3 linked regions of the Arabidopsis thaliana genome follow. The protein of the gene in region 1 interacts with the protein of each later gene in a pairwise test. Each region holds a gene or a part of one and is shown on either strand. Other genes may lie near its edges.

Region 1 (3,756 bases):
GCGTGTCATTCTAGGCTTATAGCAACAGTGTAGGTATGTTGCAATGTTGGGTTGGTCATGCCGTTTGGATTTATTTCCAGTGATTAATTCAGATTTTATTTTTCTTCTTAATTATCTACGTATAACAAAATCTCGCTAACCGCAGAGTGAATTTGCATGTCACTCATGAATGTTTTGAGTATAAGAAGTGAGTAATTTGTTTTATAAATATATGAACTTATGAAGATACATATTGAAGTTGTTTTGTTTGGGGGTAAAAAAGGTTATTTGAGTGTTATATGATAACTTTACTCAGAAAACGTACTTAGCAAAGGTAATTCGAAGTACCTTTGGAATCGAGTAAATACTGATAACTAGAAAAAATAAGATACATAATGGAGAAATAATTAAATATATTTGTATTTCTTTTTTGTTTAACAACGTACGTTTTATTATTAGCTAGTATACATTTACAACGGTTACGTAGATCATATAATAGCCATTTAAGATGTACAACATCTCATCTGGTTACTTCATTTATATAAAAAAAAAACGAAATCTCAACACATAGTAATGTATAATTACTTCAGTGGGGCTTCTCTTAAGACTTGTATTGAGAATATCCATATAAAACAAACTTTGTATTAAGATAATTAAAATTTTCTAATAGTAGGTATTGGGCTGAAGCCAAGATTAACATGGAGGCAGCTTTAAAATGTTTCCTTATATGATGCAGCCATCATTTCTACTCTACTCCGTAGCTCCAAACCCTTCTCGTAATTCACGTCTCTCATGCTATTCTTTTTGCTTTCGTCCTCCTCTCATGTGAAGCAATAACTATCTCTCGATTTTTTTTTTCAAATACCGAAAGCTAACTTTTTCAAATAAATGTCAAATATATTAATTTTCGTTTTGTATTTAGTATTTTATTTGTCAGCTAAGTATAGTGAGTTTTTAAGCTTACTCGTCGTATTTATCATATATTCATATACATATCACATTAGTCAAAGTAAATAAAAATTTGTTTTTGAAGAAAAAAAAAATACATATAACTGCGAGTCTGCGACTGTAACTGGACTTGCTTATTTTAGTTGATATGAGCTGAGTAAAATCACGTTGTCCCAGACCTTGCTCGCTACAATCGGCGAATGGTCTAACGTCCCGACACCTGTCCTCGATCCGCGGGTACTATATTCTTTGCAATGTGATGCACGCGCTGTTACTATTGGACAGTGTTTCTCACCTCACGACTGAGCCTATGCGAGTAGCGACAATCTCCGATTTGCTGTCTCCATGGTAGGGATTATCACAATCTCTGATTTTTTTTATCAGGAACAAGTAAATAAATAGCTTTGAGTTTTTGTTTTTTTTCTACATTCTTCGCCCAAAAGATGTAAGAAAATAAAGGATTTGAAACCTTGTTCTGTTGTTACTCCTTTAAATTCTTAAAAACTATAAATCATTATATCTTTGATCTGTTTCACAAACTAATCATATTCGTTGCAAAGTGAGAATTCGTCCCACTTTACTCTTTACACCGATACTAGTATTATAGATGTACAGCATAGTATTCCATATCTAGTTATTTAGTCAAAACTCTATATATTAAGAGGTAGGTTAATTAATTAAGGAGTAATTGAAGATTATAGAAAGAATAAAAAATACCATTTAATGGACAGAACCAAAGATAACTAACTATCATACTATAATGTTGAATTTCTTCCACGATCCAATGCATGGATAACAACATCAATCAAATCATACATTCATGCTATATAACATAGTTTTCAGTTACAAACTCTCTTTTTTATTTATTTCAGTTGTTCCTTTTCATGACCATATTAACATCAAATAATGCATTTTTTTCAACGTCTCTTGACTTACACCCACTAATATTGACAAATTGAACATCTATACGACTATACACACATAAGTTAAAAATGCATGCAAGTGCTAAGGGAATTTATAACATCTAAGGTTAATAAGACTAAGAAAGTATAAAATAAGAATACGTATTATGAATTTATGATATACTTTACTAATCTTTTTGAAAAATACTTTAATTTAATCTACTATAGGGGGTAAAAAGTAAAAAAGAAATAAAGATACGTTTATCCGCATATAGTACCTGGAAATAACAGAAAATAAAAACACAGGTAAGTACTTTGCCTGAGCTAGTATATGAACACTAAAGAGATACACACACACAAAAAGAGAGCAGAAACAAAACACACACACTTAAAGCTTTCGTCTTTACCTCTTCCCTTCTCTCTCTCTATCTAAAAAGAGTTCCGAGAAGAAGATCATCATCAATGGCGACTTCTCTCTTCTTCATGTCAACAGATCAAAACTCCGTCGGAAACCCAAACGATCTTCTGAGAAACACCCGTCTTGTCGTCAACAGCTCCGGCGAGATCCGGACAGAGACACTGAAGAGTCGTGGTCGGAAACCAGGATCGAAGACAGGTCAGCAAAAACAGAAGAAACCAACGTTGAGAGGAATGGGTGTAGCAAAGCTCGAGCGTCAGAGAATCGAAGAAGAAAAGAAGCAACTCGCCGCCGCCACAGTCGGAGACACGTCATCAGTAGCATCGATCTCTAACAACGCTACCCGTTTACCCGTACCGGTAGACCCGGGTGTTGTGCTACAAGGCTTCCCAAGCTCACTCGGGAGCAACAGGATCTATTGTGGTGGAGTCGGGTCGGGTCAGGTTATGATCGACCCGGTTATTTCTCCATGGGGTTTTGTTGAGACCTCCTCCACTACTCATGAGCTCTCTTCAATCTCAAATCCTCAAATGTTTAACGCTTCTTCCAATAATCGCTGTGACACTTGCTTCAAGGTTTGTTTGTTTTTTAATCGTTTTCATCAACATGATTGATATATATATAGTTTTTGCACTTGAAAAAGTTTTGATTTTTATTTATGTAAAAAACTGCAGAAGAAACGTTTGGATGGTGATCAGAATAATGTAGTTCGATCCAACGGTGGTGGATTTTCGAAATACACAATGATTCCTCCTCCGATGAACGGCTACGATCAGTATCTTCTTCAATCAGATCATCATCAGAGGAGCCAAGGTTTCCTTTATGATCATAGAATCGCTAGAGCAGCTTCAGTTTCTGCTTCTAGTACTACTATTAATCCTTATTTCAACGAGGCAACAAATCATACGGTACTAAGTATAGTCCATTTATTAATACTCATATATAGGTATATATGTATATAACTGTTGATCTTATTTGATTTAACTGGTGGGTTTAGGGACCAATGGAGGAATTTGGGAGCTACATGGAAGGAAACCCTAGAAATGGATCAGGAGGTGTGAAGGAGTACGAGTTTTTTCCGGGGAAATATGGTGAAAGAGTTTCAGTGGTGGCTAAAACGTCGTCACTCGTAGGTGATTGCAGTCCTAATACCATTGATTTGTCCTTGAAGCTTTAAATGTTTTATCTTTCTATATTGATTTAAACAAAATCGTCTCTTTAAAGAAAAAACATTTTAAGTAGATGAAAGTAAGAAACAGAAGAAAAAAAAGAGAGAGCCTTTTTTGGTGTATGCATCTGAGAGCTGAGTCGAAAGAAAGATTCAGCTTTTGGATTACCCTTTTGGTTGTTTATTATGAGATTCTAACCTAAACACTCAGACATATATGTTCTGTTCTCTTCCTTAATTGTTGTCATGAAACTTCTCTCTCCCTCTCTCTCTCTAAAGTTGTGTCAGATCTTGGGGCTTGTATCCATTTTGTGTTTCTTTAGTTAGGCAATGATCCTGTC
Region 2 (3,756 bases), on another chromosome or scaffold:
TAGCACTCCATTGAAATTAATAAGAGAACGGAAGCCCAGTGACACTGAGTATTGAAAATAAACATTAATGAGTAGATGTATACAACCTAGCTTGCTTAAACCATCTAGGCATGTTATTAGAATATCTATCATGTAAGTATCCAAACTCAATTTTTTCCAAGTAAAGAACAGTGTGTCTTATATTATATACATACTAGTGCCTTGAAAATCCTTGTGCCAGAAAAAAGAACAGTTGCAGAAGACCTTGCTCGATCGAAAAAGAAATCAAACAAAAGTAGCATACAGAAAAGAAGTGAGATCTGTCACCAACTCTTTCACTGGAACTTATTAATTGCGATTAATTATGCAATTTTTATTCTTTTGGTTTGAATGCAATTTTATCCTACAAAAATATAAGAAACTCAACAATGAAAACTGAAAAATCGAAAAGACTATCATTCCTTCTATACATTGAAAACATTCTCTACCCATGAGAGTCCATTTGGACCCAAACCTAACAATTCCTTCACACATAAATTGTTCTTGTCTAAACACTACTAAACAACAACACACAAAATCTCACAATAAAACAATCAACCAAACCGCTACAAACGCTTTAAATCAATTTCTTACCACATTCAATGATTTCACAAGATTAGTTTACATCACTCACTCAGAGCTATTTGAGTTCTCCTCTCTACTATCATCATCATGATCACTCTGTTGCTGCTTCTCTTGATGCTCCACCGCATTGTTCGCTTGTTCCGCATTCGCGTTTGCGTTTCCGCCTCTTGAATAAGCCGAGTTCAAAGCGGCTAACATCCCGAGATTCGAGTCCGGCATACTTAGTCCTAAGTTCTGAGTCGGCTGCGGCTGAGCTAAAAAAGAACCTAACTGAAGTGGACTTCCTCTGTACTGATCCATCGGAAAACTAAACCCCGTTCCCGCCATAAAGTGAGTCGCTGCTCCGCCTCCACCTCCCGCTCCTCCTCCAGCAGAGTTCACAAATGGCCACATAGGAGGAGCACGGTGGCCTGCGGCGGTGTTATTGTTGCTACTACTCTCCATTTGATTACCGGCCGTTGTCGGTACCGGAAGCATCCAAAAAGTGTTCCCAGCACCAGACCTACTCGGCGGCGCAACCGCCCACATCGGCGCCGCCGTAGGACCCGACGTTTCACTTTCTTTCAAAGATTTATTCTCGTTCTGTTTCCGATCATCGTTTTCTTTAGACAAATCAACCGATCTATACCGTTTCCTAGAGAAATTCTCACCTTCAGGAATAGTTTCCACCGGATCTTGATTCTGATTCTGGTTCTGGTGGTGTTGAAGCTGATGATGAAACCCTAAAAGCGGCGACGTATGAGCAGCAAACACACCGCCGCCTCCTTGTTCATCATACTGATGATGAGTCAATCCAAGAGCACCGTAAAGCGGCACCGATTTCGACGGCGGAGCAGAGAGAGTCGATCCACTACTTCGTAACGAAACACTTAAAGTAGAGAAGTTCGCCGGAATAGTTCCTGTACCTGTAGCAGCAACAATAGCTGGCTCAGCTTGTTGAAGAAGCCATTCAATAGTTTCACCATCGGATTTATGACCTAACTCTCTCGTTAACTGAAAAACTCTAGCTGCACATAGCGCCGGCATACGAATCCGACGTCCTCTTCCGTCGACTTTCGTGTGACGGTCTTTAGTCGACCGCTTCGTTGTAGTCGCCGTTGCCGTAGATGAGGTTGTTGCGAGTGTTGAGTCTTCGGGAGGTGTAGATCTGGGAACGATTGAGAGAGATGCGTCAACTAGCTGTCTTGCTCCTCCTCCGGTGGCGACGGCGGCGGTGTCGTTGTTGTTGTTTCGGATGTCGGAGAGATCCATTTTCCGGTGAGAAAGAAGGGAAAAGAAGATGAAATTGAAATTAGGGTTTGGTGAAAGAGGAAGAAACGGCCATGGAAGCTCCGATTGTCGCCTTCAAGTTTGACTCTTGTCTTCTTCTTTGTCTCGAGAAGAGAGAGAGAGAGATGAGAGAAAAAAAGGTTTGATGATGTAAAAGCAGGTGGATGACTTTTCCAGCAAGAGGATATTATTATTAAAATAAATAATATATATGCCGTCATTAACATTAAATAAAACGTTTATTGATTTTTGATTAGTTATTATATAAATCAAAAAGTAATTAGGGGAGAAAAATAACTTTTCACAATTATTTTAAGTCTTTTTTATCAAAATTCTACCCAAATATGAGTTATGTTATTTTTCAATTACATTATTTTCATCACAACATTATTGTTTACCAATTTTAGAGCACCAATAAAAAAAGGTTTAAAAAAGATTTGTGGATTAAGAAAGTTAGAAAGAGAGAGATAAGCATCTTTCAGACAGTGAAGCGTGCGTATTTTTGCAGGTGGGGACAGCTCATTACAATCCACCTCCGTATCTCCATTTCACTTTTGTCTTAAATATTTTTAGTTTTATAAGATTTTGTTAAAAGTATATCCATTAGATAAATGACACTAAATTCTTTAATTAGTTATATAGTTTTGGGAAAAAATGCACTTTCAAATCGTTACAGCTTTTTGTTTTAGACGTTATTTTGGTTATAGATTCATTAACATATCAGTTTGTAAGAATTTGGATCACAAATTTGATCATTCAACCAAATTAAGAAAGACATCAAACGTTACTCGTCAAGAATCCCAAAGAAAGGATGGACAAAAACTTATCTAATTTGGAATTTTCTAGTATTTAGAATTTATGAACCGGTTGAAATGGGCCGGTCTGTTGTGGCCCAAACCCGAAAAATTATTTATGAACGGGTTTCCTCCTAATTTAATATGGTAAGGCGTTGGGGTATTTGGGTCTTTTTGGGTTTACGGTTCAGTTATTTTAAGATTTCAGATTCAGATCGGGTTTTTTTGGTTTGGATTCGAGTTCATCCGGAATATCCAAAACTCAAAATTTTGTATCAAAATATATTTAAATTACTTGAAAATACACAAAAAAAATTCCAAAAAACTTGAGTATTTTCTATCCGAATCTATCGAAAAGTAGGTAAAATATCCAAAATATATACAAAATCTAATATTTTATGCACTTAATAGTTGTTGTAAATATGATTATTACTAATAAATTATTTTTATGTATATATATTTCAGATATGTTCAGAAACTTGATCGGATTCGGGTTTTGTAGTTTAGGATCTGATTAGGTATTTTAAAATTTTGGGTTTGAATTCAGATCGGGTTTTTAGGGTCAGGTTCGGTTCGGTTCTTCGGGTTCGGGTATTTTGCCCACGCCTACCAAAAACATTTCTAATGTAGCCGTTTCAGTTTCCTCTAAAACCAAACGACAACAATGCTAACCAGTTTACTTTCTGATAACAATTGAGTTGATATAGGCCCTTCAAGAGGCTTGACAAAGAGCAATGAAATAGCTGTAAATGTGCATATAAATTAAGTGCAGATCTGAGGCAATCAAATATTTTGACGCTTGGGGATAGTACTACAGAAAATGGCAACAACTTTACATGAAGCATTCACTCGAAGGGAATGCACCATTTTACAAGTAACATAAAATACAACAGTGGGTATCATAGTACAACTCCAGAGATGAGTCCGGGTTCGAATATATTCGTCCCATATATTACACAAGTCGCTACAACAATCACCAGATAAATGAAGTCCAGGTGTCTGATCTTCGAACTAAACCACCTCAGGCAAGCCATCTCCTGGAAGTAATATAGGATTTCCAGGTGCACTGGTGAGTTAACTTGTCAACCAT
Region 3 (3,756 bases), on another chromosome or scaffold:
CATTTTTTCTTTTCCTGTTTGTTCTTTTTTAGTCATGTTCTTCTTCATTCCTTGTATTCATTTATAGGTCACCAATCGGACCCGATATGTTGATTTAAAGAGAGTGGACATATCAATTCTGGTAGCTGGTAAAAAGCATCTATTTCCTTTGCTTTCAAGCTCATGTGTTACACAAACATGTTATAAAGTCATTTTTTTGTTTTTCATATGCAAAGAGAACAACAATTGTATCATGGACAATACAGAACTTCTTTATTTTCATCTAAATAGCAATGCTAAAGAGAGCTTCTAAGGAAAAAAGTGTCTAAGATGTATTCGGCTGTTTCAAAAAAATATTGGAAGAGCCAACGAGAGATTACATACTAAGTGAATAATAATGGTCTGACATACAAATTAATGATCAAACCATTATTATGTCAAGAGCGAGGCAACCATATTCGATTAATTAGTTCGCACTGCTCTAAGAGATGCTAACGGGACCCTAGAGAGCACTTCCTCTTCCAAATCTCGGGGAAGATCGGACATCGCCATTGTTGAATCTCTCATCTCCAAGTTAGGTCAAAGCTTCTACAACTCTTTTCGTACCTTCCGGCTATATATGTAACAGCAATTGAAGACACAACTCACTGGGCTAAACCTGGGCTTCAGTTATCAAGTCGGCCTCTTAATGTGGGACCAATACATTTTTTGTATTTGATCGTATAGCAAAAACAAATGATTAGCACCATGTGGAAACATTAGAGAGTTTGTGTAATTAAATTTCAAGTTTCTTTTCTGTCTTGTTATATACATAAAAATGGTTACAGTAACCTTGTTTTTTCTAGTTATCCTCATATGCTCCAAAAACATAGGAGAAAACATAATCATGAACTTTTTGACCAATAGTATTGTTAGGACTTGAATTCTCTTAGATTTGTTAATTGATGATGAATTCTCTTAGATGTTTATAACACTATGAAAATCATTACTTAAAAAAAAAAAAACTAAGATGATCCATCAGTCACACTTTAAATGTTTTTTAAAATATGTTCATATGTTTTGTTTATGGCATTGCGTACATAATTTAATTAGACTAATTATAATATCGATCAAACAAAGAATTATTGGCTGGATTTGGTCGCAGCCATTAGCAGTCGCTCTCAACTAATATTATTACGAGAATCTCTAGCTGAGCAAGTATCTCGTATTTCTCACGCTCTGACGAAAACTTCTACGAGATAGACGCAGATATCGAGACCACGTCATTCCCCCTAACAAGGCAACAACATGTGGCGGACGCCAGTAAAACTCTGCTCAATTCACTTCAATTCCATTTTTCGAATCCGCGTGACGTAACCCACCTAAGGGTTTATAATCCACTACTTTGCACCCCCACCTAAAAATGCATCACAAGCGCGACAAGTGTCAATACAATTCAGATACGGAGAATACTCTGAGATCCCACATCTGCTTTCGGTGGGCTCACCCGCATCAGATAAAAACCCTAAGCTAAGGGATCAGACCAAACAGTTTAACCAAACGAGGTTATCAACTTATACGACAACGAAAGCACTTATCAATGATAAGTTAGTTAACTTATCAAACTACAGTCTGTGTGACAAAACGCATCGAAGAAAGTGGAGAACAAGTCGTACTTTTTTCTTTATCTTTTTCCTTTTTTATTAAATGAAAAAATATAAATAGAAATTTTGTAGCATCTCTGGGGTCAGCTTTTTCTTAATGTTCGCTTTGCGACGCGAGGAAATGCAACCTTGAAACCCTAGAAAACTCATTCTCAACTACGACTAAATCGATTTCGCAAACTTTGACCTACCCTTCTTTCACGATAAACCCAGATCGCTTAAATTCCTTGAATTTCTTCTTCTGAGAGTTTTAGGAAAAAATGTCGTCTTTGAGCAGAGAGTTAGTTTTCTTAATTCTCCAGTTCTTAGATGAGGAGAAGTTCAAGGAATCTGTTCACAAGTAAGTTTGTGCTTTGTCGTTTTTGTGTGCTTGTTTGGTTTCTCTGCGTAATTTTGGGTATAATTTGGAATTGGTTGATGTGTAGGCTAGAGCAAGAATCTGGCTTCTTCTTTAACATTAAGTACTTTGAAGAGAAAGCTCTTGCTGGAGAGTGGGATGAAGTGGAGAAGTATCTTTCTGGTTTCACTAAAGTCGATGATAATCGTTACTCTATGAAAATCTTCTTTGAGATTAGGAAGCAAAAGTATCTCGAAGCTCTAGATCGGTAATGATTTCTCTTCTTGTTTGGTCGGATATTTAGACTAGTGTTGTTGATTTGATACATTTGTGTGTTTTTATTACAGAAATGACAGAGCAAAAGCTGTTGAGATATTAGCCAAAGACTTGAAAGTTTTCGCTACATTTAACGAGGAGCTTTACAAGGAGATTACTCAGCTGCTTACTCTGGAGAATTTTAGGTTTCTTTTTTTTTTTACTTTGCCATTGATATTATTGAAGTTTTGGTAGGTGGTTACGATAATGTTGAAGAGTGTGTTTTTTTCTTAGGGAAAATGAGCAACTGTCGAAATATGGTGATACTAAATCTGCAAGGTCTATAATGTATACTGAGTTGAAGAAATTGATTGAGGCGAATCCTCTGTTTCGAGAGAAGCTAGCCTTCCCCAGTTTCAAAGCTTCTCGCCTGCGAACTTTGATCAATCAAAGGTGAACTAGGAGGAGTCATAATTCTTTCCTTTTTTTATAGAGATTAGTTAAAGTGTATGACAAGTGTGTTTGGGACATTGCAGCTTAAACTGGCAGCATCAGCTATGTAAAAATCCAAGGCCTAATCCTGACATCAAGACATTGTTCTTGGATCACTCTTGCTCACCATCAAACGGTGCTCGTGCACTCACTCCTGTCAATCTTCCAGTTGCTGCTGTTGCAAGACCTTCAAACTTTGTTCCTCTTGGAGTGCATGGTGGAGTAGGATCACTTACTTAACTTCCACCCATTCTATTATATAACTTAATGTTCATATTTTGAGGGTTGATGAAACAACTGTATCTGTGCAGCCCTTTCAATCTAATCCTGCTCCGGCTCCTAATGCCAATGCTTTAGCTGGATGGATGGCAAACCCAAATCCTTCTTCATCAGTTCCATCTGGTGTTGTCGCTGCTTCCCCATTTCCTATGCAGCCAAGTCAAGGTATAATTTATGTCACAACTTACAAGTGTCTGGATATTATGGTATCTTTCGTTTTTTTTTCTTACTTGTGATATTAGAGTTTTTAGGAAATGAATTTTAAGACCTGAAGTTCTATTGCTGTATTTCGTCTCAACAGTTAATGAGCTGAAACACCCTCGGGCACCGTCTAACTCTCTAGGATTAATGGATTATCAAAGTGCTGATCACGAGCAACTCATGAAACGCTTACGGTCTGCACAAACATCCAACGAGGTAATTGCCTTCAGGTTTTCCTTGTTTTTGAAACGCTTAGTGCTTACCTAGCAAACAAAACTCTTGTTGCTTTTGGAATGTGCGCTTTGATGTTGAGTAGATGGCTCTACTTTTCAAATCACAGGTCACATATCCTGCTCATTCTCATCCCCCTGCGTCACTTGATGACCTCCCTAGAAATGTAGTGAGTACAATTCGCCAAGGGTCGGTGGTGATAAGCATGGATTTTCACCCTTCTCATCACACTTTGCTCGCTGGTTAGTCCATTGCTACCATGAAAAGCTTAGTAGAGTTGAGATTTTTATTTGGCTCTTGTTATAATATGTCTGTTACTCGTAGTTGGTTGTTCAAGCG

The links.
Region 2: the proteins of SPL (region 1) and TCP8 interact in a two-hybrid assay, tested with the Arabidopsis thaliana proteins (2 studies listed by BioGRID).
Region 3: the proteins of SPL (region 1) and TPR2 interact in a two-hybrid assay, tested with the Arabidopsis thaliana proteins (2 studies listed by BioGRID).

Annotation. Positions count from the first base shown.
Region 1 is NC_003075.7:13,681,995-13,685,750, reverse strand, and holds SPL (sporocyteless (SPL)), read left to right. Parts: upstream 1-2,156; 5' UTR 2,157-2,291; coding exon 2,292-2,822; intron 2,823-2,921; coding exon 2,922-3,155; intron 3,156-3,244; coding exon 3,245-3,424; 3' UTR 3,425-3,673; downstream 3,674-3,756. UniProt on the Arabidopsis thaliana protein: Transcriptional regulator of sporocyte development. Acts as an adapter-like transcriptional repressor recruiting TPL/TPR corepressors to inhibit TCP transcription factors. Required for nucellus and embryo sac development.
Region 2 is NC_003070.9:21,512,032-21,515,787, forward strand, and holds TCP8 (TCP family transcription factor), read right to left. Parts: upstream 2,159-3,756; 5' UTR 1,855-2,158; coding exon 649-1,854; 3' UTR 301-648; downstream 1-300. UniProt on the Arabidopsis thaliana protein: Can specifically bind site II elements in the promoter region of PP438/PNM1.
Region 3 is NC_003074.8:5,729,827-5,733,582, forward strand, and holds the start of TPR2 (TOPLESS-related 2), read left to right. Parts: upstream 1-1,692; 5' UTR 1,693-1,882; coding exon 1,883-1,962; intron 1,963-2,047; coding exon 2,048-2,227; intron 2,228-2,306; coding exon 2,307-2,420; intron 2,421-2,508; coding exon 2,509-2,667; intron 2,668-2,750; coding exon 2,751-2,928; intron 2,929-3,017; coding exon 3,018-3,150; intron 3,151-3,286; coding exon 3,287-3,402; intron 3,403-3,526; coding exon 3,527-3,659; intron 3,660-3,741; coding exon 3,742-3,756. UniProt on the Arabidopsis thaliana protein: Transcriptional corepressor. Negative regulator of jasmonate responses.